3 linked regions of the Drosophila melanogaster genome follow. The protein of the gene in region 2 interacts with the protein of the main gene of each other region in a pairwise test. Each region holds a gene or a part of one and is shown on either strand. Other genes may lie near its edges. The genes, in order: CG33144, CG14053 and CG9316.

The links.
Region 1: the proteins of CG14053 (region 2) and CG33144 interact in a two-hybrid assay, tested with the Drosophila melanogaster proteins (one large-scale study listed by BioGRID).
Region 3: the proteins of CG14053 (region 2) and CG9316 interact in a two-hybrid assay, tested with the Drosophila melanogaster proteins (one large-scale study listed by BioGRID).

The regions. Positions count from the first base shown.
Region 1 is NT_033778.4:10,791,719-10,802,698, reverse strand, and holds the start of CG33144 (uncharacterized protein), read left to right. Parts: upstream 1-3,989; 5' UTR 3,990-4,359; intron 4,360-8,214; 5' UTR 8,215-8,574; intron 8,575-9,589; coding exon of another isoform or gene 9,590-9,788; intron 9,789-9,850; coding exon of another isoform or gene 9,851-10,034; intron 10,035-10,100; coding exon of another isoform or gene 10,101-10,352; intron 10,353-10,432; coding exon of another isoform or gene 10,433-10,609; intron 10,610-10,671; coding exon of another isoform or gene 10,672-10,822; intron 10,823-10,880; coding exon of another isoform or gene 10,881-10,980. Other genes in the region: wde (windei), read left to right, coding at 1-462, 1,041-1,465, 1,528-1,976; mthl13 (methuselah-like 13), read right to left, coding at 9,590-9,788, 9,851-10,034, 10,101-10,352, 10,433-10,609, 10,672-10,822, 10,881-10,980.
Region 2 is NC_004354.4:2,187,985-2,198,940, reverse strand, and holds CG14053 (uncharacterized protein), read left to right. Parts: upstream 1-5,031; 5' UTR 5,032-5,463; intron 5,464-5,881; exon of another isoform or gene 5,882-5,968; 5' UTR 5,969-5,970; coding exon 5,971-6,663; 3' UTR 6,664-7,302; downstream 7,303-10,956. Other genes in the region: Mct1 (monocarboxylate transporter 1), read right to left, coding at 1-139; CG3457 (uncharacterized protein), read right to left, coding at 10,466-10,956.
Region 3 is NT_033779.5:20,719,573-20,730,801, forward strand, and holds CG9316 (uncharacterized protein), read right to left. Parts: upstream 6,980-11,229; 5' UTR 6,885-6,979; coding exon 6,290-6,884; intron 6,235-6,289; coding exon 5,534-6,234; intron 5,476-5,533; coding exon 5,425-5,475; 3' UTR 5,400-5,424; intron 5,340-5,399; 3' UTR 4,637-5,339; downstream 1-4,636. Other genes in the region: CarT (carcinine transporter), read right to left, coding at 8,047-8,320, 8,396-8,794, 8,857-9,448, 9,504-9,762, 9,911-10,093, 10,305-10,529, 10,588-10,680.

The sequences.
Region 1 (10,980 bases), on a different chromosome or scaffold from region 2:
CACATCCTCATCGGAAACGGGTGCGGGCGTCAGTGTCACTCCGAATTCCAATCACCAGCAACAGCAGCCAGCAGCACGGTCATCTCAATCCTTAACAACGGCTAGTGTCACGCCACCTGTGCGCCGGGGCTGCTTGCAGAAGGTCACGCCCCATCGGCCGGTACCTACTAACTTACAGCCCGCGCCAATGCTTATGAATCAGTCCAGCGTTCAACGTCTGCAGTCCTCACCGCCTATAGCTCAAAGGACAATGCACGCCTCCAAGCACACCGGAACGCCTGGCTCCACGCCTTCATCGGTGGCCAATGCGATTAATAAAACCGTCATGCGTGCCCGGAACTCAGAAGCCGCTTTCTTGGCGCAAAAACAACAGCAGAAACAGCACCAGCAACAGCAGCAACAACAGCAACAACACCTGCAACAACAACAAAAGCAACAACAGGCGCAGCAACAGTTCCTACTGTGAGTATAATCCTAATCGTGATCTTCGATTAAAAGCGAATTCCACGCTTGTGCAGAAGTTTACAATTAGCAATTTATTGGGAATCGTTTCAGACCCAATTAGCTAAATAGATTCATATTTTTACTTGTAGAGTAATACGGTATACTAGATTCGTTACAGAGTATATAACTGGTAGAAGGCAGAGTTTCCGTATATATTTTTTTTATCTGGATCAATCAGGCCATGTCCGTCCGTGTGTCCATATGAACGCCTCGAACTCAGTGGCTATAAAAGCATACATAGATTTTTTTTTAAATTTTATTATTCTATTTCCCAATTTGTATTGATATGCCAGAAAAAATTTTGTTTTCTTAACATTCAAGTATATTTTATTGCTATTGAAAATCTTTATAGTTGGGGTAATAAACCCAAATGGGTAAATAAAAGCGTTACCAATATAAAAATATACTTGTCGAATCAATATGTTTATGTCCGTCCGTCCATTTGTCCGTCCGTATAATCGCCGAGATCTCAAATTCTTCGTCAAAAGAAACATGTCATATTCACATTACTAACTTACAATTGTTTCATATTGCAGACCTCGACCTAGTCCCGGTCCCACGCCAGGTTCGAGTCCCGCCAAGCAAGTGCCGAAGTGCACAACTAAAGTGCGCGCCAAGCAGCCACCGCTTTCGGGGGCCACGGTCTCGGTGCCCATCTCATCTAGCAGCAGTGGATCGGAATTGGGCAGCTATGGACAGCAGCAGGAGTCCAGCTTGGCGCCGGCCAAGCCCAAGGAGAAGGCAGTCATTGACCTCACAGATGAGGATGATGCAGCGGCTGCGGCGGCGGCTAGGGCTGCCCAAGCACAAAACGCTCGTTTGCGTATGGAGATGCTTAAGCGGAATGCTCAGACTGCAGCAGCGACGAGAGGAGGACGAGGAGGCGGAAATGTGGTGCGAGCTTCTCCAATGCAATTGCCTCGCGTAAATGCTCGACAGATAGTCCATAATAATGGAGGAGGTGAGTTGGAAAATCATTATATTCAAAATATTCGGCGTACTTATTTTCAAACGTATTCAAAGGTCAGCAAAGTCCCTTGGGCTCAAACGTAACTATGCAGATACGTTCGGAAAACACCCCGCCTCCAGCGTCTCGTCTAAGATACTCACATCCTGCACCACTGCCCACGTCTCCTCCCCAGCCCTTCAATCCATCCTGGAAGGTGCCTCCTTCGCGACCCGTTATCCGGATTAGTCTCCTTGATACTGGTATCGTTATATCCTGGACTCTGGAGGATTCGAGCCCGCGGTTCGCAGAGTGCGTAATGTACCAGATCTATGCATACCAGGAGACGATTAACGAGCCCAGCACGGATAGCTGGCGGCATGTGGGCGATGTCAGCGCTATGTTGCTGCCAATGGCAGTGACTTTAAATCAGTTCCAGGAGAACCAGAGGTATTACTTCGCTGTGCGGGGCGTTGATAGTCACGAACGATTCGGGCCGTTCAGTGTTCCCAAGACCTGGTCGTAGACGGATTGGTCTGTTCTCTTCCTTAGATTCTAGTTTTAGTAGAAGATATGTAATTTACTTTTGTCCTTGGTAATCCGTTCTCGAAACTAGCCGGAATTATGAGTTTATACGCCTAAGTTATAAAGAGATTATTGAAGAATTTTTAAGAAGTAATAAACAAGTTATGCCAAGCAGTCAATCCACTGCAGTCAGTAAAGAAGAAACAAACAAAACATTGTATTTCATTCTCACTAGGTTATTTAACATAAATAAGTTCAAAACTTACATTAAATAATAATTTGAATAAATATCAAATGAGAAGAGCGTTTTATCTTGTATTCAATTTTGTGTGTGGACCCTTATTATTTATATGACTAATATGACTTATTAATTACTATTATGAAACAGTTGATTTATTTTATTTAAAGCCGATGAACGGAATTAGTTTTAGTAAAAGTTCATCATCCTTGAGTAGTTTGTTGAACTAATGAATTCGCAGACTAATTTGGATGGATATCGATTAATGTAAATTCGTCTACAATAAGTAGTAACAATTATAATACGGTACAAAAACAATTATAACCACAGAATCTATTTCCTATCTAATTAACAAGTTAATTGACGAAGCACCTGATGTTTGATATTGGCAAATATTGAGCATATAGTCACTAATTGGTGATCAAGTGAAATGGGCCTGAGGTATAAGTCGTGCACATAAAATATAGATAAACTCCCATTTAGGTGAGTGTGCCAACCAATTTGGAGGTCACAACAACGACCGTCCTAATGCTCGATGATGAGGTACAGTCGAGCCTGTGTATGTCAAACTTAAGCCGTATATGAAAATAGGATTTATGTGTTATTATAAACGAGTCTTCATAAGCCAGTCCATATCGAAGAGTTCAATATTGATGAAAGCCCAATGTCAATTTATAGAAGCTCCACTGTAGCTGCTGTGGGCACTGAGGAAGGGGAACTGACAGTGGGGCAGATGGCGGCCTGTAATATACTCCTGCCTCCATATCCTTGTGCCGCGTGCACTTGACATTGGCTTTCGAATCGGGTCTGTCGCGGCATTCATGCGCGGCGCACTGGCAGGGGGTTGGGGGTTCCGGGGGCGGAAGGTGCAGCTTTGCCCTGGTAATGGCATAATCGACCCCCTTTCTGGCCCCTTTTCGTTGCGGGGGCTGGCCACGTGCCGTTCTCATTCGGCCGTTTCTGGTTTTCCTGTTTTTCCTGCTGCTGCTGCACTTGCAACAGCAGCCAAAAAACCTTGACATTAAGCAGCGTCGTCGACGAGGCACAAAATCCTGCAATTGTGTGGAAATCGTCCTGCAAAAAAGGCGCTGTACTTGAGCTGTCCAAGCCACATATTTGTGCTTCGAAAAAACCGGGTTCCTTTAAATTGACATTATTACCAATTTTTGATTATTTTCACAGGCATAAAGCCAATATTAAAAATAAAAATCATTGCAATAACCCACTTCTAAACTTCAATACCAATATAGTTGGCTAGAAGAAATTACCTGTCTATATTATTACACATATTGATATATGTATATTTCAGATATATTTCTGATGAATACGACCATCTTAGACAATAGCAATTCGTTAAATATTTGATATCTATATCTTGTTCCTATGACAACTCAGATTAATTACTGGACGTATACGTTCATACTTATGCATATGTAAAGTTCGCAATAATCAATCAAAATGTGCTCCTAAATCGTTTGTGCGCCATCAATTAGTCGGCAGTTATTTTCGGTGACCCCGACATACGAGTGAGTGTAATTGAAATACATGGATGTTCGGTTGCCACAATTGCAATTGAATGCTACAGTTGTTGCTGTTGCCCTGACAAAAGCATAATAACAAAAACACAGATGTTCCGTCAGCAGGTTGCATTTCGAAGAGAGCAGCGGGAGAGGGAAACTCTCTCTTCTCGCGTCGTGCGCAGTGCGCAGGACGTGCAGCACGGCAACACTGGCCATGGAAGTGCGACAAATGTGTGCGGTGGAAGTCCGTTTGTTTATTCGCTTGCGGAACGCGTTTCTCGACGGTTGGTTCGGTCGCAAAGCGGAAGTGCTGGCGCAACGTGCAACATCCGGCGGCAAAGCAGCAAAATGCCAACACAATAAAATCAAAAAGGAACCTGTAAACACACACCTCCAAAGATATATAGTTAAATCATAAAAAAAAATTTACAAAATTATAAATATATAAAAAGTATAGCCGAAATTAGTGTGCGCTTGTTGATCAAATCAAGAATTAAAATAGTATATTGAAAATAATCAAAAATTGTCAAGTGCTTTTCGAAAGTATAAATATCTTAATTAAAACCGTGTTAGACCCCCATTTCGAAATCGATTACAAAGGGTCGAAAAGTTTGTGAAACCGATTCGTAAGTGCCCAAAGAAGTAAAACCCCCTCCGCCAACCTTTCACCTTTCTTTGTGTGCCACATTCTCCTTATGTGTGCCGGTGTGAGTGTTTATGTATGTTAATTAAATTACCGTTATGTGTGCTTACCACAGCAACACACTTACACACAAAAACCAGCTCTATCGCAGTAATTATAAAAAAAACAAAAGAAAAACAAGAATAATACAAAAAACAACAATTACAAAGGCCACTGAAAATCCATTTCCCATTTCCTTGGGCTCCCCCCCCCCGCATTTCCTCTCTACTTTCCCCACTCATCATCGCATGTTTTGCCCGCCCTGACACTTGGGGCATATTTCTGTGTTAACTGGGCTGTGCGTGTGTTTATTACTGCGACTACGGCCATTGGCACGTACATCGGACGGAGTACCCTCAATTCGACGCCCATGTCCTTGCCATGTGCCCTCCTCATACACGCCCCTGCTGGGCACTACTCACAGTTATTAAGCGTCTTATGGCAACTCTCAAAGCGGCCCATAAGTATGCTATAGTTTTTGCTATTCTGCTGAAGAGTTAACTCAGGAATACTTGGAGAAAATTGTAGTACATGAATACATTACATGATAAATATATAAAATAAAATATTTTCATAATCTTTTAAATGGGCAACAACAATAAATTCGCATAAAATAAACCACTATGAATTGTAATGTTCAAAATTTCTGTTGTACTGCAATAAAAAAGAGATTTTAGGTTTTAATGTATGGGCAACTTAATTCGGTACTGGCATTAACCTATCAAAGAGTGTGACGTTTCTCTTCGTGTAGGAGCAGCAGGTGCATTTCACTCAGAATTTCAGGTGATAGCAGTGAGCTTCTGACCAGAAATCAATAGAAAATCAAGCTTTACGCTTATGGATCTAGTTGGGGGTTAGTCAGTCGCCTGCTGCAGCCATATACATACGTCGTTATTGCCCTTTGTTACATTTACCATTTGAGCCACTTTTATGTTCGGCCCTTTGCACATCAAATTGATGATAAATTGCAAATTGCGACCATAAAATCCCCAGAGAGTTATTGAAAAATTTCAGCGAAGAGGTCGTAAGGAACCGATGAAAAGGTATAGCATTTCATATTTATGGTATTTCCTGCCAGCATTTCATTTCAATATTAGGAAAGCAATAGGTATAAAAATGCTCGTGTAGATTAATAAATGTTTTGGAGAAAACCTACCTTGAATGCGAGTACTTTTTTAATTGGCATTAATATTATAAAATACATATTTATTCAAAAGAAATTTATTTTTTCTTTGAGCTAAAGAATCGATCAGTGTGACAACTTATTTTACAAGTTGTTTAAGCTTATTAGTTAAGAAAACCCAATTTTATAGTTTGACAAATGACATTGGCCACCAAATTGCGATTTGCTGTACAGTTTTCCAGCCAGTTTCTTGCACTTTCAAATGTTTGATCTATGCAATCCATCGTTGCAGGGCAAGTTAGACTGAAAGCTTTTTGGAGTCATTATCCCGTATTTCAATTAAGGGCGAAAAAAATTCGCGCTCCACACATAGAACACCAAATTGTACGCTGGCGATGGTCTGGCTCAATTAAACGACAGCGAGTCCTTCGCTGGTCGGAGTTGAGAGGACGAATTCAGAGGATTTCCCGGTATAAGGGATACGGGTGGTGACATCTTCAAATGGCACATGCCCGTATGCAAATTGCGCCATAATCTCCACTGAGCGTTGGGCATTGAGTCGTCGCCTATTGATTATCAGTTTTGCATACTAATATGCCCAAGTTGGCAGTGCATTGAAATCGAGCCAAATAAAGTGACAAGCTCCGTGTCCCACTGTTTGTTTCTGCCCGTCCCTGTCGCTCCTATCGCCTCTTTCGTCCCTTTCGCACGTTTGCCATGGCAGCTGTCAGGGGGGGGGGGGGGTTCCCCTCGCTTGAATGTGTGCGATGTGTCCGGGCTTAAGTAGCTTTATGTGTCTGGATGTGTGAGTTTTGTGTGGTTATAACATTTTTTTTTGTTTTTCGCTTTTCTCGGTTTTCGATTTTCACCACGGTATTTCCACGAAAAGTTGTTTTTCCTTTCGATTCTGCTTTTTTGCTGGCATTTTTTGCTTAACCTTATCGAGTGAACTACAAAAACGAAGAAAAATAGTAACTACAAAATATTTAGATACAGTATAGGTGGTCATTTCTTCATATAGAAAATAGGGCTATTTTACATCTATCTGAACTTGAGTTTAAAGGATATTTTTCGAAAAAAAAAGCTATTTAAAGTTTCTTTCCCCTTACTTAATGTTTGTTGAGAAGTGTCGTCAACGGTGCCATTGTTTTATTATCACTCCGTAGTTCCCTTTTTTTTAGGTGGGTTCTATCACATTACGTATACGCATTTAGTTCCAATTTTTGCCTCTCGTTCCGTGGGCTTCGCTTTATTTTTATCGCCTTGCGTGTGTAAGCGAGTTTTGCTTGTGCCTTAGTGTGTTACTGTGTTTGCATTGCCAGTGGCGGCCTTTTTTTTGCTTCCGCTTTTCCTCGACTGTTTTCCACTTGCTTGTGTATTTCCGCTGTAGTCATAATGGGAAACAGCTGATAGTACACGCCCCCTCACATCGTCCCCTAATCGAGCCCTTTTCTCCAGGGACACAAACAGAGGGCGGAGCGGCCATAAAAGAGTTCTGTTAATGGGCGTGTTTTTTGGGTCTTCCATAGTACATCTGCTGTTTATATGGGGCCCGTTCTTGTTGCGAAGTGCTGGAACATTGATTTAAGTTGTGCTTTTGAAACACCAAAACTCATCCCAGGACTTAGACCTCAAACCCAAACCAAGATTTCGGACACCTGCCACAAGCAATGCTGCAATGTAACACATGTTATAAAACATGTTCATCTCGGACAGTTTTCGAAATTTGATATTTTCAAAACTGGACATGGGCAAAAAAACCAATTGGTGGGCAAACTTCTTGCTTCAAATTCCAAATATTATATATGTATATATACTTATATTTTTCCGAACCCAGCTTCTTTAAGCTGGACAATCCGGCCTAAACAATCAATCAACTCACAATCCATAACATTTTGCGCGAAACATAAAACAACACACAATGATTTCGATGAGCAGACTTTGGGCAGCTGTCAGTTGGCATTAAAAGTTGTTTGGATGGCGTATTATAATTGCATTTGGTCATTTTTATTTGGAAAATTGGAGTTCCAACGGGAAGAGGGAGACCGGCAGAGGCAGAAGTAAGTGATTTATGGTGGGAAGAACGCATGGCACACAGAGCGTATGATAAATGTCTGCAACGAGCTAAATTTGTTAGGGATGGAAATGAAATTACAGAAGTGCTCAAAGCAAACTCAAAAGGAAACAAAAACAGGCACGCATAGACACAGTAAAAATAAGATTAATTTATTAAAATGGAAAATACTGTTTAATAATTAAAATAAGTAATCATAAACATATGGCGCACTTACAAGAGCTCAACAACGACTAATGCATATTTAACTTTATATAATTTTACTTTAATTTAAAGACAGGATCAAATATGTAGGAAATTTCGTCATTTCCTTTTAAAATATGAGATTAAAAAGATGTTTGTATAGTTTAATTGTAAATGTATTTGTGTGTGTATAATCATTATTACAATATCTACCATTTTAATTGAAACTTCGTAAAAAGCTTTTAGTATTACGTTATTATTTTTGTCCGTGCATCCACACACACATTTGCAATATTAATGATGCTGCTGCTTATGTAAATTGAAAGCAAAAAGGAAACCGCAGAGCATCATCATCATCATCTGCATCAGCATCAGCATCATCATCAACTATAAAACTGTTTTTATTCTACCATTTTCAGCGGAATCAGAGCCACCGAAAAGAAAGTAAGGCAAACAAACGATATGCGTATAGGCCGGGCCAAAAAGGACAAGATAACAAATCCCCCAGCAGCACTTAAGGCATAAATCTCAAACTCAATCAACCATCTGAGGCTGAGAAAGAGAAAGGAACAGGTCCAAAAGACAGAGACAAACGATCTAAGTGGCTGCCTTTCATCTGGATATTGGGACAAAGTCGGCAGCCGAATAGGGAGCAGGATAAAAAGGAGCAGGGGCAGAAAGAGGAGCACCATCGTCATCCTGCATGTTGATTTCAGTTGAAATTGCGACCGCAACGAAGGACAAACAGTAGAAAGCTTTCAAGGACGTAACATGGCCAGGTAAGTCGATTTTGGCCTTCTACACATATATTTTGCCGGCAATTTATATATGTATATTCGCTCGCCTGTCAAAATACATTTCCAGTTCAATGCAAACGAAAGCGAAGAAAGAAATCGCATTTATCATTAGTCGAAATAAATGACAATGTGCCGTAGTTCTCGATATTTTTGGGGTACTTTTTGGTAAATGATAAAAGTGAATGGCTTTCACTTGCTTTTCGTTGTGGGAGCACATGTAACCGGCGAGAAAAATGTGCACCTGTTCACTAGAGACATTAAATGTGAGAGCTTTGATATAAATCCTTTGTTATCCATTTAGTGATAGACTGCTTAAAGTATTATTCACTTCCTATTTATTAGAAAGCTAGTGTTGTGTAAGTAAGAAAAACAACAAGCTTTCTTGCAAACTTTATTATTCATTTAATTGCAACTAACACGAAATTCTTGGTACCCTAAAGATCAATTTTTAGTAGTGCTGCATTTGTAATAACCTTACGACGTTATCAATGATTGTTCGCTTACAATTCCTGTCCATCTGACCAATTTTAACCAAATAATTTTAAAATTTTTATCCAGTTATCAGATATTTTGTGAAAACGTGAGCGTATTATTATTATGTATTATAGGGTATGCTGAAGAAATCTAATCTTAGAATCTAAATGTAAATGTAATCCTATTTTCGCCTTCCCGATATTTTTAAGTTATAAAAAAGAAATTTTCCCAAGTCCTGGTTCTAACCGGAACCACGTTTTAGAATTATATGGGTTTACAGCCCCGATATCTATTTAAAGATTTTGAGGCGAATTGTTAATTTATTTAGATATAATTACAAAAATAAACAAAAAAACCAATAGGTTTAAATATTTAAAAATTTTTTGTGGACTTTGGAGCATTTCCTTATTGATCGAAGATCAAACATCGGTCTGCTGGTGTAGGTTCTTACCACGAATTCTGATTGTAATATACTTAATATATGTAATATATGTTATTAACGGAATAAGAGTTATAGGATAACTTACTTGGCAATGAGCAGTTGATGGGTGCTGCGCTTAAAAATAAGCAGGACAAATAAAATGATACCAAAACCATAATGTATTTGTTGGATTATTATACCGAAAATGTCCCAAAAAGTGGAATTCACTTCTATCAACAAAAAAATGATCAGTATCCAAGCTACGCCCATAATACCGGAAATCCGCAGAAACAATAGGTACCTAAGGAGGGCAATGGAATTTTAAATCAAAGAATAAAAAGCTCCAAGCGTTAAGAAACTTACAACTCAAAATTTAAAAAATTTACAGTAACACAAGTCTCGTTCCTATCTGGTCGTTTTGTTAAATTGTGGAGATTTCTTTTTGTTTTCATAATGTGTTTGATAGTCAGAACGAACATAATTATATTAATGGCACACATGATCGCATAGGGCACAAAATAATAAACCCAGGAAGACCGCTTACAATCTGAGAATTGGAGTAAATATATGAATTAAATTAATACATTAAATGTCTTCCCCAATCGAAACGTACCATCCACCGAGCATCTACTAAAACCAACTAAGGGCAACCAGTTCCATTTCCTGAGATCCTCTTCCCAAAATTGATTAATCGAAATGATGATTCCGAGTGGTATAGCAGATATCCCGTAGGCAAAAGTACTGTAAAAGACGAACTGATCGCGATTTTCTTGGCTAACGACAGATGTGATTTTCTTCCATATGCAATAGCTGATTATGGAGAACCAAACAGAATTGGCAAAATCAAAGAAGAACATGATATAACCTGCGGAAAATAAAGTCAGTTTTTCCTTCATTTTCAATGCCTTATCTTATTAAAAAAAATATGTATATTAAACCACTAACCTGTCAGTGAGCAAAAGTCATCCAACAATCGTAGTTCATCCATAAGCCAGATTAGATAGTCAAGAAATAGGCAGAATACGCAACTCATTACGCACTTTCCAAAGTCATTTCGTAGTTCTTTTACAAAAAGATAAATGCCGAATATGATGATATAGCATATTATGGAACCAGATGCAACTGAAGAAAACTCTTAGAGTTAAGGGATTTACTGAAAGATTTTTTTATAGACATAGCCTTACGCTCGAAAGCTCCTGGACTCTCTATCGATGAAAACTTGTGTGATATAATCCATATGGTTTCTGGGAAGTCCGAGTAAATCTGATGCGGATAAAAGCAATATTCTTCTTTGGTCTGTATACTCTGATCAGAGTGAATGTATATGGTTCCGTTCTGAAATTATTACGAATTATTCTGTCTTGCCTAAGAGACAGGAAAATGTAGGATATACCTTGTACAACGTGTACTCATCTCTTCTCAGGCCCATCATTTCATCGATATCCCAGAACGATGTTATTAGCAGTGTTTGATTGTTGAAATATAGGGCCTCT
Region 2 (10,956 bases):
CTATGTGTATCATGAAGGAGCCGAAGACCACCACCCATCCCCATCCGCCGTCTGGCGGTGTGGGCTGCCGCTCCATGTCCATCTCGCAGGCCTCATGCTGCTGCTGTGATTTTCTGCGAGCCGGCGGTCCGTGTACCATGTTGCTGGTGTCGCCCTGGGCTGATTGCTTTGGTTTCCGGAAGAACCTTGACCTGCGATTGGGTCTCCTCTCCGGTTGCACTTGCTGCCTGTATGTGGCAACTGCTGCTGCTTCTCCTGCTGTTGCTGATGGGATGTGCTCCTTAAAGCCAGCGGCTCATGTTGCAGCAACTGAAACGGTAAACAAATGAAAGCAATTAGAGGGCAGTCATTGCCAAGTTCCAGCATATTGAAAACACGTGATGAAGAGGATGTTGTCGCTGGTGTGTCTGCCCTGGTTATCAGCCGAGCTCGGCCAAATTCATTGAACCTGCTAAAAACATTCAAAACAGATAGACCTTACAATTTGGTGGGGAATGTACAATCTGACAGACAGAGGGGGACGGGAATTCTGCGAATTCTTCTAACTGGGGTTTTCAAAACAACAACTTCTAGTTAACAACTAGAACTTACAACTTTTTAGTTAATCTATTTAATTCTCATTTATATGCTCAGCAGCGAACAGGTTAAATTTAAAATCCCATGTACATAAAGCCCCAGAATATATGCTAATATAGGTGGCGGGCCAAAGCGAAGCAAACCAAATCAAAGCAGTTATCAGCCCCCAAGTCACCCATTGACCTCGGCCTTCCAGTCCGCCCGCTGCTCATTAGCACGGTCCCCATAATCACGGTTATTTGGCAGATTCCGCTTACGATTCCATTGTCCATTGCCCCTCGAATCGGCAAGCCAGGAGAGGTGGCACATCGCTACATTATATATAGATCTCAACGCGGCTTATCAGGCTCGGCTCAGAAAAACACCAGACTGTGGTGGATGATCGGAGCTGAGCCGTTTGCCATTTGGACCCCCAGCGATCAGCGCGGAAAGTCGTTCGTTTATGCGGCGAGAAAGTCACGAACGTGCGCCACTCGCTTCGTCAGCTAACTAAGGCTTAAGGTGAATTTCTGTCTATTTTTCGATTTACAGTAGAGGTCTTTTCTTTCGCTATATAGATAGCAAGCGTCTATTTTGATGTTTTGTTTTCCCATCTCTTTAGCTTTGAAGATAGCAGAGAGAGCATGAATATACATACATAGGCCTTCACAAATTCTGCCTGCTCAATCATTGTTGGTTTTGCTGCGTTTTTGTGTGGTGGAAACAAAGCGCAAAAGTTGCAACAATGCCGCAAGATAATTGTGACGTGATAAAGCAGATGCGAACCGAACAGAGCGGCGGGGTGGGTATTCCCCCCACGACCGAACAAAAACAAATGCCATTTCACTTTTTCCAAAGCCATATCAGCCAGTACTTGATATGCACACACATTACACTGAAAGCCAGGCATGAACAAAGGCTAAAAACTTAACCTAAAATTGATTAGGAACGAACAATCGGGCGACGGTCGTCGGCAGGGGCGTTATACTGCAGAACGCCATTGTATGTGGTTTCTAGTCGCACTAAGTCAACAGGAAACGCATCCCCAGCCTCTCCAACTTGGGCGGAGTGAGTCATCCGTCGGCGTCGCTCTTTTGTGCAATCAGAGACAATTAAAACAATACAAATCAAATCAGCGTAAATGAGAACCATACACTTTTACCTCAAGAGCCTCAAGCAATACGGCATTATCAATGGACTCGGCTGGTCCAAAATCTGACCATGACATTCAGGCGTTCGTCTTATATCGCCGACAAAGAGATTGCGCATACGCAACGTTGGCGGCGCGGACCAAAGGAATTTAGTTAATACGGCATATATTTATTACTGAATATCCGCCCCTTGACCGAAACTCATCTATTCGCACATAATTGGACTTTGGTTTCAGCTGATCTACTTTAAATCGAATGAATATGGAACCATATATAATAATAGCTCTATTCGCCTATTGAAACACTTAGTGTCATGACACATATTAACTTTATGATTAATAATATATTTTATGAGTCAACATTAATTTCAATATTAGCTTTGTTAAAGACTGTGATTATGAAAGCATATAGCTTCTCAGGACAACAAATTCATTGCAATACCGTTTAGGGCAACGAACGGAGGAATCTGAATTTAAAAATGCTTGTAAGCGTACTTAGTGGACATATGCACTAATGATTTGATGAACCAGTTGCCAACTGGATCGTAATCGGTAATTACTGCTCAATTCTACTTCATGTGGCCCCGAACCCCTCCACTTGTTTACCATGCACTTTCGCCCGGCAACCAGAGCACCACCACTGCCCCTCCCCCAAGAGCGATAGCACTCGGACTGGATGCACCCAGTCACTCATCGATCGGGTGGGGGGCACTCGCGGGACTTTGCCCTTGACCTATCTCCATATGAGTGTAAGAGCCGAGAGATAGCCCCGAAAATGTGACAAAATGTGCGCAGTAGGCAAAATGCAATATCAGCAGAAGCAAAGACAAAAGCAAAAGCAAAAGAGGAGACAAAAGCAAAGGCAACACGAACAGTTCGGTTACGTGAGGCACTGAGAATTATTTAGATCATTCGCCAAATTAATGATCATCAAAGTGTCGGGATTAGATTGCACTCCTGTTCTGGCTCTGTTTCGAAGGCAACATTAGAAAAATGAATTATATTCGGAGCAATAAGCTGCCAAAGTTAGCAACATTTTCTTCGTGTGTAGCCCCAAGGCTTCTATTTTGCTACTATTTCTGTTGACTGATCAGCAAAGTCGTTGAACCAACAGTATCAAAACAAACGAATGCATGTGTAGATTGCCAAATAAAAGCTTGGGCATGCAGTCGAATTGAGTGATTCACCCCATTCGTGGGTAGTATGCGATCCATTTCCAGTTCACAACTCCTTAACTATGAGTACTGTGGGCAGGAATAGTGTCAGCTGCCTTTGTCCGTTTAGATTTATGCCTCGGCTATCCTTGCCGACTTTTCAACTGCATCTCAGCTGGAAGAGCTGTCATTCGCACTTTGTTTATTATGAAATTAATTCACTTTGCTCGGCACTAAATGAATTTCAGCGTTTGCGGTCACGGATTTGTAATTATTGCGGCCTTGGGCTTACTTTGTGCTCACTTCCCATTCGGAATCTCATGCCCACAACCTCTCATCAATCACCTCCAGCTAACCAGGCTATTGAACCTGGCCAGGGAAAGATACTGACCCACTAACCGGATTCTACGGCTTGGGAAATTAATGACAATTAATTTTATTATTAATAAAATTTTATTAACGTGCTCTAAATTGATCCTGTGGACTTCTGCAGGAAACTAACTTCTCGCCATACACTGCTGTATCAACTTGAACTTGACGAGCAGATTAAATTCGAAGAATTTAGTTTCACTGTTTGATATCCCCACTTCACCCGGGATCACGATCAATCTTTCCCAACGATCTTGTCCACACAGTCGTAAACGCAAGTCTCGCATTTAGTCAACATCAATATCAGGGAGCTATCAATATCGATCACGGCCACCTGGCGAGCGATAAAGGAGGTGGGGAGCAATGAATGCACTTCTGTTCTTTTTCTCCCACGTTCTGGGTCTGCAGGCGCGCCAAGTGAGAAAGAGAAATCCGAAAAAGCCGAAAGTATAGAAACGATCTGTTTAAAAATAGTTTCGACGAAATGCATGCATTCTCGGCATTTGAATGGCTTTCCGACTCCAGGCGATGGCGCTTCGCTTCTGGAGGATTGGATCGGTGTGATTATCGGAGATCGGTGATCCGATCGGATGTACAAGATCACACATATTTAAGAGTCTGGTCGCTAGCCCAGCGATAGTTACAATCACCTTATCTGATCCAGGCGACTTACCTTTCGCCTGTTATTTGGTAATTAACTTGTTGCTGCCTGCACTCTTTGGCTTTTTTCCCTTCGATTGCTTCACTTTACTGCCGCAGTGTGCGAATTTACGACTTTGTTGACAGTTTGTGTTCTTCGCGTTACAATTGCAGTTGTCCAATCGTCGAGATTACGGATTGAACGGGGCGTCGAGTGTTCAATAAAACTGAATGAATGCGATTTCGATCGCGTCGCACTTTGACTGCGGTGCTTGACGTACAGCGTCCTTAGCAACTGGCCACACTCGATATGTCCTTGCGGTGAATGCACACTCGGTCACACTGAACGGCAATAATGGTGCTTCTAACACTGACTCCCGGCTTTGCTTTCCCTTTCCCGATGGCTTCACTGGCTTCCAAATCGCGGGAGCGAGTATTACTTTTTGGCGAGACGCAACCGATGTCGCTGTCAGCAGGGCAGGCGACGAATTAAATTAAATGCGAGCCGTGTAAGAGCAGAACGCCGAGCGCCGAGCAGCCGAAGAAGGAACGGCAGCAAAGACAAGCAAACAGCGAAGCACTCTCCTCTCCAGGCCTCTCGCACTGCTCCCTCGCTCCTTATCAGTGGTCAGCCCCAAAGAGCGCGCATGGAGAACTCTGGGCAGGAGTGGGAGCGGGAGAGGGAGAGCGCCGCCAAGTGATCGGACCCAATCTGCTGTGAATTATAGGCACCTTATCAGTTTATAATATTTCGTACATGTTTCGTGCTTCCAATTGTGTTGTCTGCATGCAAATAACACGGCACTTTCGGGCGGCAGCGGGGGGCCTCGGGGGTGGTCTCGATTGCTTACGCCTTTCTGGCTTAGTGTTAAATATTAATTAACAAATTTGCTCGAGTTGAACTGTGCGTAAATCGAAATCACAACGGCCATAAAAAGCGAATACAGCCTGTTTAGACCCACACTGAGCACTATTATACTCTATTCCAAGTCGAACCCCACTTCTTATTTCCTTTTTGCTTAGAAATGAATTTATTTTACAGTGCACACGGATAAACAGTTATTTCCATCGCCTGCATTTCGAATTTTATCCGCTGCAGAAGATTGCAGCACAGTATGGCAAACCCTATTACTTTTTATGTTTTCAAAACATTTTTTTTGTTTTTACCTATTCAAATTCTGCAATATTCATCCAGTCAGCCCATCATTTTTGTATTTCCCCTGCAATCGCAATCGAACTTTGCCCATGCAGCCTTACTGCAGCTCAAATTACAAATCGATTAGGCTCGCGTGCCATCCAAGCTGCAGCCAAAAGAAGTGCATTATCAAGGTCGGCGATGAGACGGCGAGTTCCCCGCGGGCCACAGCGAATGTCTGATGCTCTACACGGGCTTGGTGGAACGGTACATACAGCTCGGCCTCGTGAGGAGTCACGCAGTCAGCGAGCATGGGAAGTCAGACTTGACCGCGCTTCGCACTGATCGCATAATTTGCTGTACAAATAGTGATTTCTAATGCTAAAAATACACACCAGACCCAAGACCAGGCTGACCAGGCTGACTAGACTGGGCCTTCGGTCACAGGTAGGCCATCCCAGGTGAGTTGGTCGACCAACCCGTGATCCTATATACACGCCCGTCGGCTCCTGCCCTCCCAAACCCTTTCCCGCTCCGCGTTTATGGTTGTCGTAATGCGACAATATTGATAGCCGATTATGCCAGGCCATTGATAACGCCCTCGCTGGGAGGGGTGATTGCGGGAGGGGGACCGGGAACGGGAATGGTGGTGGGAATCAATTCCGCATAGTTCGTCCGAGGGTGGTCATGCCACGCCCCATTTCTAGTTGATAAGATAGTGGAGTCCAGGCCGGATGAAATGGAGCGCTGCTGCAGGCTTGACTTGCCGCAAGGAGCGAATTGGCGCCGCAGCAGGAACTGGAACAGGAACCTATGTACATATATACCCGGTTGCCAAGTGTCAGGCGCCTCAAGCTCCATGTTCATTCAAGCAAGCATATTTCACACACTACGGAAGCCCGGAATATATTTCCTTCTATCCGTAAAACTAAAAAAAAAAAACTAAAAAAAGTATATATTTTCTAGTAATGGACATCTCCCAATCGGACGACCTATACGAATGCGGAGTGGAGAGGGAAAGGGAGACTGTCCATCAGTCATCGCGCACCGTGAGAGATCCCCTTCAGGTGTTCCATTGGATAGCGTCTTTGGATGTGGCCCAGCTGGAGGACGAGACACCGCCCCCCAGTTTCTACTTCGATTTGCTGGAGACAAATGACGTCGAACTGGACTGCAGTGTTTACAGCGGAAAGCTTCTTGTAACGCTCGGTAGTCAGACAGATGTGTCGCAGCCAGAAGTTTCGCAGGAGTATGCAGACAACGCACTGGCGGTGGAACCAACAGATCTGAAAATATCAATACCTGAAGATGCGACAGCATGCCCATGTCATGCCGCATCTGATGATGAAGTATCAATTACAATATTTGTAGAAAGCGAAACTGAACCGGAACCACGTGGGAACTCCGAGCATCAACCAAGTCGCTTTTCGTTTTTTGGCATGTTGCTAAAGGCGGTCGTGGCACTGTCCGTGGTGAACGCCCTTTATGTTCTGTGGACGATCGGCTTTGAGGCCTTCAAGAACCGCGTATGGCAGTCATCTTCTGTGAATATGCCACCGCCTCGGACTACATCGATCAGGGAGACGCGTGCTTCGCTGCCCGAGAGCATTTGGCGAAGTGTTGAAGCTAAATTGGCTAGCCTGCGAGCCCGCTTGAACTAAGTCCGCTCCTGGCTGTCGGACTTTGTTAGTTTCAGCTTGGTTATTTATAAACCCATCCCGCTATTTTTACGCCTATGGCACCAGTTGCTGTTCCAGTCGATTCCTTCGCCGTCGACGACCACTGTTTGCTGTTGTTCTCGTTGCCGGCGGCGTTAGAGATTACGAGTAACACGGACTGCCCGAAAATACGGATTTCTGTTGTTGTGTACCCGGGACAACAACAACTATCCGGCCCAGCGATAAGCGTCGGAATCAACACGAATCTCGGTCAATAGCTCACCGATCCATAGCCAAATAAACGCCAAGCTGAGTCTCCAGTTCAAATCGAAATTTCTCGCTCTCCCTTGTGCCCTGCCTAAAATATTCCATGGCGCTGGTTATGCTACACCACCTAATCCGCGCATCCGTGGGACAATGATCCCGAATCGCCTTATCGGAACCAAGCACCTTTCGCCCATTGTCGCCTAATAGGTGCATTCACTCGCCTCCTCCCCAGGCGAAACGGAACTCGATCCCGACTAGCGTCATCTCTCTGGGCACTGCTACTATCTGATCACACCTGGCAATTGCTGGGGTCGTCGTGAAAGGCATTTAGTTCTTAACTAACCAAAAAAGCTCTTTTATGTATGACTCGAAACGATCTCTTTTTAGATATTTAACAATTACATAAAATCCAATAGTTTGAAAATTTGGATACGAATTCATTCAATTAGTTTTATTTGTATGGCAAAAATGTTTTTTTTTTGTCGAAAAATTGGGAAAGAAAACCTGTCCAAGAATGTCTAGTGCTTTAAGGGAATTCTGGCATAACTCGGCCAAAAACGGCCAAAAATCAATTATAATTACTGTTTTGTGAAGCTAATGGCCAAAGCCAACGATCCTTATCACTTTTTAAATGGTTTTGGGAAAAAAAATTTTTTTGCCAATTTTCGGATTTTTTTAGAAGGGGTAACATCATTAAAATTTGCGAAAAATGTTCAAAAATTAAAAATCGAAAATTTAAATGCTAATCGATTGGAAATTTAATTACGACTTCACAGAGGTATGGCATTCCGTGTTCGGTCCATAATTTCGTTTGTTTTGAACAAAATACTGAGTTTTTATGGCGGAAAATCTGAATTAAATTGAATTACCTAACTAGCAGGTGGGTCTCATCCAACTGATAGCCATCTCCGTGCATTTGTATAGCCTTCGTAGGCAAATTACGGTCTGGCCTCTTGCCTAGTACCAACTATTGATTTAATTGCAGCCGACGGCCAAGGAAGCGCGGACGTCAACGTCAACCGGGGCGAAAAGTCGGAAAATGAGCTGCCAGGAAAAGCGCAAGGCATGGGCATAGTGTGCGCCAGCCCGGCTTGAAGTATGCATGCAAATTAGCTGACAAAACCAGATTGACATTCGGCAATCAGGGCAAATTGTCTGCACCGGCCATAGTAGGTACACTTTTACCACTTTTAACGAAACATGCCGCATTGCCGTTTTCCCTGCCGCAGCCCAAAGCCAACTGAGCAACTGGCTAAAGGCACAGCCGAAGGCCAAGAGCGCGGCCTGCGAATGGCAGTGGTGGTAGTTGAAAGGGGGGAATGGTCGCTTTGCGGGGGGGTGGGGGGTGTGGACAGGACGACCCAAAAGCCCTGGGACTCATGCTGTCCGTACGGGTCGTTTGCTCTGCCAGCGCCTGCTATTTAACATGCACTCGTCAGAAGCGCTGGGCCGCATTAAAATTGCAGCGTTGGGGGGCAGGACGAAAGCCGATCCAAAGGGCCGGACACGTACTCTTCGCAGCCACCTGTTGGGTGGCCCCTCCTGCGCGCTGCCATTAGATATGTACATGCACACACGGCACACAGAGGCAGTGCAGCCCATCAGGATCTCCGGTTGCAGCGGTCAAGTCGATAGCCATGCTCATTATCCTAGTGTTCTGGCCTGGCTAGTACCTACCTGCATGTCCTGCCAGTAAAGTCAGTGGTTTAGCCAAACTTATGGGTTACTGTCGATACCCTGAATCCCACAGTGTCACTTATTCGAATACCATAAGTGCTTATCCTGCGACCGCATCAGTCCTTTCCCGGCGAACTCTCGCTAATTATGCACGGATTAATAAAAGACATGCGCTCTCGACCGAAAACAGCAGAATTTACACCTGCCACATCCATCGAAGGGGGAATCCGGTTGTGCGGGTATGTGCCACTTAAATGGCGGGCGATCAACGGAGTCCCGTTGCCACAAGTGGCGCACAGCATCCTTTCAACTTCCATTAGCCAGCTTCCTGGCGTTCGTAACTGTACCTTCGCTTTCTGTCCTGCCTGCACTTTCACTTCTGGCCTGCTTTCTCCGCCAAACCAAACACCCTCCCTCCACCTGAAACGGCGCACGTGCCACGGATGTGTGTGTGACAGGTGGTTATATCGGTGCACCGGAACCTGCCCCCCGGCATCACGTTCCCACTCGGTTACAATGTTACCATGTTGTGTGTATGCAGTTTCGCTATTTGCAGCTCTCGGACTACGGAGGAGCATGTCCAAAAAGCACTTCATTTCAGCAATATCCCCGGGGGATGAGGCGTACCGTGCAACTGGGTGGCCGAATATGCATGGCAAAGGGTAATATACGCAGACAAAAGGTTACGGGGTTCAAAGGTTAAACGTTTCCCACGTATTTACGAGCCCATCACTACAATTCCTGCCCGTTTGCGGTGTTAGTTTGGTAGGCCTCTGCCCAAAGATGTTACGTGGCACTGAAACCTCCTCTTTACTTCAAGTGACAGAGATCCCCCTTGGAGTAAGAGGTATTTGCTACGTCCGAAGGAGGGCAGAACTTCCTCATCACCGTGCACATGGCCACTTACCCTTGCACTTTTTGATGAACCGGCACGTGGCACGTGATGCTACCGGTCGATCCTTGGGTCACGGTCACCGATGCCGCTTGGGATGCCGATACCGATGCGCACGGTACACGGATGCGGAAGCTGAGACGGGCACTTGTACCACGGAACACAGTAACCAAAGCCGTTGGATATCGAACCTAGGCGAGTAATTAATTGACAATCGCTTGGCCGTGGACTCCAGCGACCCGTAATTGGCGGAAGGCCGGCCATCCGCCATCCGCTATCCGCTATCCACTTTCCGTCGTCCGTTTGCCGTGCTCCGTACTGCCGAGCCGAGCCGAATCGGATGGGATTGAGTTCAAACCGCCGTTTTGGCCAGCCTGCCGCCCGAAAACAGTATGGCCACGTATTTTGAATGCAGCGCCGATGCCTGCGAGCTTTTCAGCTTTTGAGGGAAGCTTTCGTGGAGGCAGCTCCGTTGGAGGCCACCCCCTCCTCCGCTTTGTACGGCTCAAGTCACGTTGCACGTACCCCTTGGGCGCTTGAATAGCATCTCGTTCCACAACAGTCCCTAGTGCCCACTCCACTGCGTCCACCTGTTGCCGGTGGCCATAAGCCACTTGTTGTCGTCTGCCGCTTGCCTAGCTCCTTCTGAGGAGAGCCAATTAGGAGGACCCGCATTCCCCACTCGATATAATCCGATCGCACGTCCTCCCGATTAAAAGGCCGCAAAACCATTTACCGTAGTTAACCAAATCTATAAAATGCATATGTTTCGATTTGAAGATGACATAAGCGACATATAACCTTGCAAACTATTATTATTAGCAGCTAGGTAAGTGGAGCATGCAATGGGTTATTATACTTGTTTACGTATACAAATTGTTATGATAAATGGAATGTGAAATGGGGGGGGGGGGGGTGGGCTTTGAGTGCAGCTGCGCTATGTTTTCATAACGCGATAAGCGGTCAGGATTACACTCCTCCCCTAGCCCCATCCTCCTCCTCCACCTCTTGCAGTTGGTCCTGCTCCTCCGGCTGGGTATCAACGGTATCGTTGGTGTCCGCATTCAGGTCCACCCAGTTGTCATCGCTGATTTCGTCAATGGTATCCGTGTCATCCACTACGGCCGCCACGCTCACGTCATCCGTGGAGCCGGAATTAGTGGTGCCAGTGGTTGTGGTGGCCGTGACGGCGGACGAGGGTCTCAGTATCTCCTCCTGAGTGGCCGGAGTCGGGGTCGTCGACGTGGTGTACGATGCGGAGGAGGGTGTCTCCGAACGGTAGCCCATTCCCGTAATGTACGACCCGGACCCAGAACCCGAGCCCGATCCAGACCCTGATCCGGATCCCGATGCGGTTTCCGTGGCCGTTTCCGTGTTGGAACTGCAACTTGCCGTTGTTCCCGAAGTGGAGGCGTCGTCTCCGGGGAGGGCGTCCTGAGAAAGCCTAGGTCGCGGGGCGC
Region 3 (11,229 bases), on a different chromosome or scaffold from region 2:
CTTGGCCTAACCTATTTAGTATAAATTATGGATGATGGCCGTGATTTGGTAATTCGATGTGATTTGTACATTTCTTTGAAAAGAGTTTTTATCTATAAGTACGTTGAAAGATGTACTTAACTTCATTACGAGGTTAATCGGTTCCAGAAAACGATTGTTTGATTTTAATATATATAATATTATTCTAATGCCTTTGGTCTTACTGTGCTATGGAAAAATAGGTTTACAAACCTTATTAAATGGCTTTAAGTGCGAAATCGATTTTGAATCCACCCATCCTTTCCGCCGCACTCGAAGGATCCCATTAGGTCGGTATCCCATTATCCTTCGGTTGCGGCTTCAGTTTTCGGTTTCAGGTTCAATCGGTGGCCCATCAATTGGCTTTGTCGATTATCAATTTCCAGCGCTAATTGGCGTGCATTATTTATAGTCGAGCGAGCACACGACGGCTGGCTGATGGCACGCATCTAATGACGTCACAGGGGAAAGCGCGAGCAGAGAAATCGATTGGCGAAACAAAGACGTCATCACTTTGCCGTCGGAGGACATGCGCAGCGTAGCAGAGCGAGACAGCAGACGGCGGGCATGAATGAATGAGTGGATGTTTGCGGGAGGGGAGCGGAGGGGAGGGGGCTTCTTATCGCGCTCAGGTGAAAATAGCCAGGTGAGTAGGCAGAGCGGCAGAGGAAAAACACCGGCCGGCGGCTCAGTTTTCCCCTTCTTTGTGGCCATCTCGCTTGCGCGATGACGTCCTTGCTGCGACACCAGTCGTCTCGCTCTCGTCTGACGTCACTTGTCCTTGACGGGGTGGTCTATTTCCGAGTGTGCAGCACCACCCGGCCATGACGTCACGGTTGTGCTGCCTGGCTTTCCGCTCCACTGCAGCGAAAGTGCCCGGAAATAGCCAGAGGATAACGACACGTGCTGCAACCCCCCGCTCTCCGCTTCCCGCACCCTGCTCCCTTGGTCCTTCCACTGGTTTTGCTCCGTAAAAATAGTTTTTGCAGTGACCATAAAAATGCAGCGTGACATACGTTGCATGGAAAGTTGAGTGGGAAAAGGCTGAAAATAACAATGGAATATTTTAAAAATATATCAAATAAATTAAGTAGGTCTGAGTGGTGGTTGAGGGGGGGTGGTTGGGGGGGTTCATATATACGCAATAGTAGTGCTATAAAAAAAAAACGATTATGAAATAGTTAGTCGGTGTATTTTTAGCGCTCATTTTATCACATACTATGCAGATTTTATAACAACCGGCAACTAAAACTGATTAATGAGACATCTCAAGACCCTCAACTAGAATCTAGAATCACCTGACATTGATTCGGTTCGCATGCGATGGCATTAGGGAAATAGCCCGCTCCCAATGGAGCAGCAGATATCCGCCTTGGCTCATTTGTAAATCGCGCAGTCAACAATTGATTTATGCAGATGGATGGGGTTCTAAAGGTTGCCCCGGCGAACGGATTGTGAATTGAATAACTCGAGTGTCCCCCATCAGCGGCCGGCGGCCATTCGATACCGTCACACTTTTTTGCTGTCCACCAGCGGAGCCAAGATGCTCCGAGATGTACTGCATGTGAAAATCGCCATAAATTAAATGGCCGCTGCAATATGTCAGTGATAAAGAGCACACGATGTTCTAGACAGAACCACAGGCAGCTCCAGTTGCAAGCTCCCAAGATGGAAGAAGATGCCGCGGCATTGAAAAAAAAAATCTATATATTGAATTAATTCGAGAGTTGCGGGTTCAAAAATTACAGGTCTTTTGGCCACAATAAAAACGCAAGATAATAACTATTGGAGTTTATAGTTATGTTGTATGTGTATGTACATTGAAGGCACTGTTTGAGTTTTTAATTATTTAAACATAAACATTTTAATATTCACGAAGAAACCACTTCGGTAACTGGCTCTTCAATAAAAAACGGAATAATCCCAGTGCATACTCAATTGCAAGTGCAGACTTCTCTAATTGCCCACCACAAACTAGAAGAACACTGAACGAAAACTTTCGCTGAAAGTAAACACAATTCACTAAATAATGTTTCTAAACTACTTAAACTCACTCAGTATGTTTGTTATTGAAAGAAAAATTTGTTCATAGAATCAGTTAGCAATTGTGAGTCTATCCGCATACAACGTCCCTTGTTTTTTTTTCAGTGTCCAACTCTGTGGCAGTGGCAACCAGTTGCATGTTCGGAGGCTCAGAAGTGGCATCTTTGGTCTCTCTCTCGGCGGCGGTTGTCTATTTTCTCACCTGCGGCGCTCAAAAGTGACCTCGACCTGTCTCAAGCTATATAGATAGATATATATATATATATAAATATATTTCTATATGGATACATGTGAGTATATCTGCTTGGATAGTCGCTTATTTATTGACATTCAGTGAGGCAATCGCCTGGCCGCAGTGGGCCATGTTGTACGTCTCTATATTCCAAAATGCATAGATTTGTATCAATTGATAGTGCAGAACAGAACAGAACAGGACAGAGAACTTGGTCAGCAGCTGAAAGGCAACATGCAATCGCGTTGTCTGCCAGCGGCTTTTGTCAAATTGAAGGTAGCTTCTACACTCGACCCTCTATAGCTAAGTGCACATACTCTGCCGTTGGAGATCCGGCGAATGGAGTTCCAGGGAGCCGCACAAAGTCGGGGCACCTTGACAAGCCCAGGCACGTCTTCGGCCGACAATTGGCCAGAGATGTTGGCCAAAAGATGCTCGCAGTCGGGCTGGCTTGATTGTCTCCCCTCCACTTGTGCCTCGAACCTCCAAGATTCCGAATGCGGGTAATACCCTATTCTAACGATTCTTGAAAACATGTGCTATGCTAATGAAACTAAATATTAGTACTAACTATAATTTATAATTGTATAAACTTATAAATGCAATATAATTAAATATAAAAAAATATTTAAGACTCATTTTTTTTTTAAATATATTCAGTTAGGAGGCATAGAGCATTGGCAACTCCCCCTGCTTGGCTAATGCCAATCAAATTCCATTTGATTTCACTTCCCTCGCATTTTTCGGGCAGTCAGAATGCGCGGAATTAATTAAGCGGCTTAAATAAGATGTACTAACAATTTGTTGCTAATGTGCCAATCAGCCAGCCGCCTGGGCCCAAAAAGTTCATCAGCTTTGGGTTGGGGAGTCAAAGAACAAGGAGTGTGCATTACTAAATTAACTTTTGCATCATCGACTAGCGAATCACCAGCGACCGAATCGTGCATGAAAACATCTCCGAGGAATCAAATGAATTCGGATCTGCCCCAAACACAGAAAAGAAACGAAATATTGTAATTTCAATATTAAATTAATGTTGGCAGCTCTTGATTTCTTGTTGCTGGTGCACCATGGTGTTGCAGCATGTGGCGTGCCGCAAAATAATTTGCGAGTCCAAAACAAAGTGGGTCGTTCGCCGCATGACTGTGGGTGGGTGGCTCATAAAAGTTTATTTCCAATCGAGCGGAATAGGTGTTTCACAAAAAGCATTAGAAATTAAGATTGGATTGAAAACGCAAGTTTTACAATTGTAATAGTAAGTGGAATTTACATCTTTAAGTTAGTCCAGCAAAGTGGAACCAATGTTACTCAATATATTCAAGAAATTGATTAGAAAGTTGACACGGAAATGGGATAACTTCTCAAGATATTATGTCAGGCATATTGTCAGTGTTGGTACTTAGCTTAATTGATGAAAAATCGTTATAAATTATAATCGCTGCACTTTCCCTTGTGCCTTTTACTTCCACTCACTCCGCTGAAGCGAAAACCCTAAGATTCCGCCCCTTTTCGTTCGGATTCTTCCCAGACGTTGGGCGATACCAAAAGTTCATCCATCGAGAGGTGTGCTAAGCGATAGCAAAAGCCATTTCCCATAATCGCAAGCCACCACAACAACCCCCCCCCCGAACAACAACAACAACAGCAACATTAGGAACAACAACAAAGTCACCGAGCAACAAACAACACGAATTTCTATGGCATCAGGGTAACAATTTTAAGGCTTGTCTCTCTTATGAAATACGACAGCCCAGCGAGATTTTTAAATAATTCACAGGCGTGATTGGACACGCTTCGAGTATATAGTAGTAGTATCTGCCAGATACGATACTGCAAAGGGGCAGGGTACGCCAAATTATCCCTGCTTAATGTGCCCCACTCATGCAAACCCTGCTCCTCCGGATGAGCCGAAGATGCCACCGCAACTTGTGGCCAAATGTCAGCAAGCTGCCTGCTCTGCTGGTCCAGTTAAAGTACACTAATTAGTCAGATAGCCGAGCATGGCGGACACCTGAACATGTCAAGGCATTCGCCGGGGTGCCCCTGGCCACCAGAACCCCTGCTAACCCACTGCTAACCCCCTGCTAACCCCTTCTAGCACCGTCGATCGGAGAGTCGCGGCGATTGCAGCCGCCGACAGCCATTTAAGGAGCCACTCGAGGTCAGTGTAAAACAAATAGCACACGCAAAAAACAATCAAAACGTATAGATGACTAACCAGTGGAGTAGTGGAGTGGCCACAGGTGAGTTCGCTCTACGATCTGCACTGCAAATAATTCTAGAGAAAAGGTGTCATACCAAATCACACAAAAAACCTGTGAAGAATGACTGGTTAAAAGATTTAATTGAACCCAACTGGACATATGTATTATAAGAGTCCTGCAAGATACATTAGTTCTATAATTAAACAAAATGTTTTCTATTTTTCCAAGTGTAATCAACTGGACGCGGTCACTTAGCTTCCTGCTGCTAACACAGACATCATCGGCCAACAAAGCAACAAAGTTCAGTTCCAATAGAGCAGCAATTGAATGCGAAATTTATTGCCGGCGATCGATCGCTTGGATCGAATTGAATCGCGGATTCAGAACTGTATCGAATATCGCGTATTGTTCGATTTCGGTTTCCATTCGTTTGGCTTGTTAGCCAGCCGCTTGACGTACTACAGCCAAAGGCCCAAAGTGCAGCGACACGACCCACACACGTTTGTCCGCAATTATCGGCGTTCTAATGGAGCATTGTGAGCATTGTGATGATCATAAATTTCGATCGTCCACTTCCTTATGGCAGCCATGGGGTCATGACTCATCGATCCAGTGAGGATCCCATTGTCTTAGCTATCCGCGCTCCAAGGCCATCGAATGTTCCACTCACGGAAGAAGTGCCCACCACGTCTATTCCCTAATCCAGAAATCACAGCTACGGTTCCTTATGGCAAAAATAATACTTGCACTCCTTTTAAACTGATTTTTATTAATAGAAATCAAATTTGATTGGTTTTGGGCAGTGTCTCTCTTGATATTTGATGTTCAATAAGAAATGATTCCTTGGCAACACAAAATTTGATCAAATTATTGCAACAATTCATAGACATTTATTTTCTTACCATTTTCCATTCGAGTGGTGTCGTTTTAAATAAAATTAACCTTTAGACGATTCAAGGAATTCACGTAATCCGGATGCTGCAAAATATGAAAGTGTTAGTATATGCTTTCGAAACTCCCGCCCCGGTTTTCCCACCGTCAATATAGGCCGCCTGATCATGGTTCCCTTTACATTGAGCACCACATCACGACCTGATCCCTTCGAGCAGAATCCAATGGCCTGGATCACAAACTCCTCGGTGATCTGCTCGCAATCGGTCAAATCAATAACTTTCAACTGGGGACACTTCCGCAACATCCTCATCATCCCCACGTCCATCACCCGACCGCACGCGGTCAGACCAAATCGCTCCAGCTGGCTGAGATCGTTGAAGAACTTGAAGTGATCGTCGTCCAGGATATCGTTGTTGCTGAACCGCAGATCCGTGAGGCTACTCAACTGTCCCAGGCACCTGGCGTGCTCATTGGTGATATTGAACTGACCGGATAGGTGCAGATGGGTGAGCTTGTTTCCTCGTTTCTCTGCCAGAACCGTAAGGAACCCAATATTCAGCTCGTTGGAGGTCATCCAGGTTTTCAGTGTACAGCGCTCCAGCTTGGGCAGGTTGGCGATTACCTCGAAGTTGGTGTCGCAGCCGGAGAAGATCAGTTCCACCAAGTTCGTGCAGCTCTCGGCGATTTTCTGGTACAAGCTCACATTCATAACCTCGAAACAACAGTCGTCGAGATCCAAAGTGTGCAACGACTTAAGCGGAATTCCAAACTCCATCGAGTTCCATAGCAGACAGTCTCGAAGGACCAAAGTTTTGAGATTGGGAAAACCGCAGAGATTTTGGCCTGTTGCGAAAATAAAGTCCCGCAAACGCATAAATAGAGTGCAGTGCATACCTACCTGTATAGCAACCATTAACCAGTTCAAAAAACTCCAGCTCCTGGTTGGGCTGCATATCAAAGTTGAGCACATCCTCTGCATCCAAACACTCAATAGTCACCCGTTTCAAGTGCGTCATTTTGGACATAATCGATCGGTAGTGAAACTCATCGGTGGCGTTCGAGTAACTAATCTCCTCCAGATTGGGGCAGTATTCCTTTACGAACTCCACCAGCAGGGACTCCTTTTGGTAGGACGCACAGTCCACTTGAAGGACTCTGATGAAGGGTCCCGCCACCTTGAAGAACCTGATCAATTGCGGCAGAGGCACCGTCTCCAGACTAACCATGTCCAAAGCATTTCGTTGCACTCTCGCCCAGCCCTCGAAGGCCGCTCGGAACTTGGGCGCCACACAGGCCAGCAGAACCTTATCGGTAATCCTGGGCAGAAACTCGAGAACCAGTCGGATGATGTCCTCCGGCAGATCAAGCAGACTGGTCCTGCATAATGGCGATGGCGATGGCGATGGCTCACTTTTTTGGACTCCACCCGGGCGATTGGAGCGAACTGGGAATGGAGTCTTCACTGATCTCGAATGCGTTTTCGCCTTAGGCATTTTTTGGATTATTTGCTTGTACGTAAATTTAGATTAATTCATTTTTGACACTGCCCAGATGTTATGATAGGAAATAAGGGAAAATCAAGCTCGACCTTGTGTAACCGGGTAAATATTAGAGTCCTGATACCGTAATTCAAGATCCAAATCTAAATACTCCAGAGATCTATAGGGAAAAAGACTAGGACAAAGGACCATCTTAACGAATCTTTGGATTTGGAACTGCGTACTGAACTTAAGTAGCAATATTAAGAAACTACATTTTTGCTTGCAAGATCTCCTTGGTGTCAACATATTTGTGATCTGATCCAGCATTATGAATTCCCATGGGTCCAGGCACTTCCTACGGTTGACAGTGACCGCCAGCAGTTTACGGTCGACAGGTGGGGGCAATTTCGCGCATTCCTCTATTATTCACCGCATGAGCAAGTTTTCTTTTTGTTTGACAACAATTAATTGCATAATTGTCTGAATAAATGCATAAATCAATTACCGGTGATTGAGAAGTCGCCATACGATATACGCTACACGTACTTATTTATTTATTTATTTTTACCGGATATGTTTGAAGAATTAAGTTTCGGTTTTTGTTTACAAAGCTTTTGTAATTCACAAAAGCAAACAACTTAGGCATAATGGCAATGCCCTATAATTAATGGAAAAGTAATGGAAAAGGAAAAGAAAACTGGTATTTAAAGGAGGAAATTGTTATAGATTTAATTTTAAGCAGTTAAAGTATGCTGCTCTATTTGCTCATAGCAAATACTTCTAAAACACGGAATCAAAAGCGTTTACTTAGAGAACTATTATTTAAATTATAAATAAATTAGTAAGCAATTAAATAGTGCTGTTATATGTTAAGTAACTTGTTGAAACATTAATTTCGTTATTTTTCATACAATGACAATTGCTAACATTGTGCTGCAAAAATGGTAAGTTTTTATGATTAATTATATTTGTATGTTTGTTTTTAAAGAAGTCTCTGCCCATAGTTCTATATTTAAAAAGATATCCCTTAGCGTTAAGCAATAGATTAGTAAATAGTTTATATGCAATCATTTTAAACTTTAGCGAAAACAAAGAATAGCCTTGCAGTTTATCTAATTAATTTTAAGAAATCTCTTCTAGATGTGACAATACATTAGATTTGTCGCTACAAATCTTAGATCCAATGAGTCAACTGCATGGTGCCATCATGCGTCCTCTGGGTGTCCATGACGCTCATTTGGCGCACTAATCGCTTCATCGAGGGCCGATGAACAGGTCGCCCACTTCCACTGGCCGTTGTGTCCAGGGGCGTACGCTCGTCAATGCGGGGAGCCGGCTCCCGAACCCGTCGACTGTCCCGCAGCTCCAATTCCACCTCAGAAGCATTGGTGGAGGATCCAGCCAGGACATCCAGGTTCTCGTACGACGCAGGTTGAGATAAAATCTCTCTGCAAAAAGTAAGCACAATATATATTAAATTAGTTTTATACCCGCCTTGGTCACCACATGCACATTGAACTCACGGCTTTTGAGCGCATCTACAGCAATCTTTGAACTGCCAGTTCTTGCCAAACTCCTCGCCCTCCTCGATGGTCTGCGGCAAGCGATGATGCAGTGTTTCCGGCAGCCGCAATCCCGTCATGCCGCCCAGCATCGAAAGGAAGCCCATGATGACCAAGGGCAGTTTAAGATTGTCCTTTCCCAAGTAGGTAATAAAAGGTATGCCAATGAGACCCAATCCTCCAATATAACTGGAAGCACCAATGCCGATACCCCGAACCTGAGTGGGATAAAGTTCCCCGGCAAAGGGGTATATGATCAGGAAGGAGGCGGATAGCAAGGCTTTGGATACTAGATACAGCACAAGGGTCTCATCCACGGCATCATCGGGCAACATTACAGTGATCACACAGGCCACGCCACTGAAAAATGTTGGACTTCGAATTTTACACAAAAAACACAAGATGATGGGTCAAACACCTACCCCAATATCATTGATAAGCTCAATGGCCATCTTCTGCCCCAGGTATCCATGAAGTACCAGCAGCACAAATAGCTCGGCAGCTCCACAACAGCCGACAGAAAGAAGCTGACATACTGATTGGTGCCCAGCGCTGGTCCGTAATAACTGAGTCCCAGATAAACCGTCTCATTGGCAAACCAACTCAGCGTGATTAGGATGGTCTTTAAGCGCATATTGGGGGTGCGACAGAGATCTGCTAGCCCCACATTGGCCATCTTTTTCTTTTGCTTCTTGAGCTTATCCCGTCGTATCTGAGCCTCCAGCTTGAGATGCACAGCCTCGGGAAACTCTCTGCCATTGACCTTTGCCATGCGCTCCAGAATCTTGAGAGCCTCCTCCAGGCGACCGCGCATCAAAAGCCATCTCGGTGATTCCGGCATGACGAACATGTACAGGAAATAGGCGTAAAACGGCAGGGATGTGATGTAGGAGAGGCGCACCCAATCCCGCTCCAGATAAGTGACGCCGGACAGGAGCATGATGCCCGAAGTGTAAAAGGTGCACGTCATCACAGTCACGAAGGATCGATAGTTTTCACCCACCAGTTCCAGAGCTGCAGACGCAGAAAAGTTAATGGTTAAAGTTAGAAGCAACAATGAAATACCCACATATTATAAATGGTATCTGGTAGACAGCTGGAATGGTCAGTCCTACGATGACTCGACTGCCGGCCCAAGTCCAAAAATCCTTGCTCAGCGAAGTCATTAGGCTGCCAGCCAGCAAAGTGGCCAAACAGACGAAATAGGAGAGCCTTCGTCCACCACGATCATTGAGTAATCCGAAAAGATAGACTCCCACTGGACCGCCAGTATTAAGAGCAGCCAATCCAATCGTAGGATAAATATCCTGATCGCACACTAGATCGAACTGAAATAGGAGGATTTAATGGTTTATAGTAAGCCAATCCTTCGCTCCTAGGTAAAGGTAGTACTGATGCTTGGGAAATGATTCGAGCAACTCCTACATGAATGACGTTGTAGTTTCAAATGAAGGCTTGGTGGTCTGGATTGCGCACATCAATCACAATGGAGGACCAGACGACGCTTGTGTTGTACTCCCATCCCTGGGGGCACTTGATCAGTGGCCAACTGGCATTCGGCTCCATGGTCGTCAGGTCATCCTCTTCCCCCGATTCAAGGAGCTGCGTCCAGTTGACTCCGTAGGTATAACATTTGCTGTAGACCAGTTCGTCGTTATCCTTGAAATAATTATTTCATCAGTTATTTCAAAATATATTTAAATAATAGAAGGCATAGAATATAAGGTTTACCTCTCCCCCATTTCATTGTTAGCCCCTTCGATTACTCATCGAACCACCCTCGTATCGACCCTTCACCTTAAGCAACGCACAATCAATGGGCTGACTTGATTGCCTTAGCCTCGGCACTCGTATGGCTGCAATTACTCACCAGTTCCTTGGGTATGGACAGCGATTTTCGCTGCTCCAGGGGCAAGTCGAGTAGCTCCGGGATGCGACACCAATAGTCATCCGGAGTATCAGCCATAAACAACTGGTTAAACGCACAAAAACCGCACGGTATGCAGGCGGGCAGGCAAATTCCGAAAACCAAGAGCTTCTGGTATTTGCCGAATTCGCCAATGGTGGGCAGAAGGTCGTCCAGATCGAAGGCCTCCTGGAAAGAAAACAGCAAATCTAGAGAAGATCAAGGACCGTGTCTCACAGATATGCACATCCACCGAGGGCTGGGATTCGGGCTTGTGGCGTTGTCGCAGCTCCGAAAGTTCATCGTATTCGTCCCCATCGTTGTCCTCAATATCTGACATGGATGCGCCTCTAGACAAGCTCTGAGCTGGAAATGTTTACTCACACTGCCCGATTGGCTCAGCTCACGGAAGCCATAGAAGCAACCACTGACAACTGTCAGTTGTCTAGGGTTGAAAGAATGAGCTGGTTCTGTTGATAGTAAAAAGTTTGTCGCAGTGGGCTCGATTCGTAATTTATATTTTTGTTTATTCTTTAGTCGCAAGTTAGATTTAAATAGTTTAAACTAAAGTATTTAAAATATTACACGTGAATTCAATCCTGCTCGAATTACGGCTAAGACGAGCCACTAATTACAGTTGTTAGGCTTTGATATTACAAGTAGAGAACGGGGTTTAAAGTACTTCGTTATGCAGCTCAGTACATTTAAAGGGATTTTAGTTTTTTTTTTCTTGATAATTTCTTCTTTTCTTGGAATCGTTGCTAGAGCTGGGAAATGGACAATGCTAAATTTTACGCCTAAAGATTAACAGAACGAAGAGCTATACAAAAGATGCTTCAAGTCGTTTTAACTCCAACTCGTTCGCTGTTTACTGCTTAAAAATTATTGC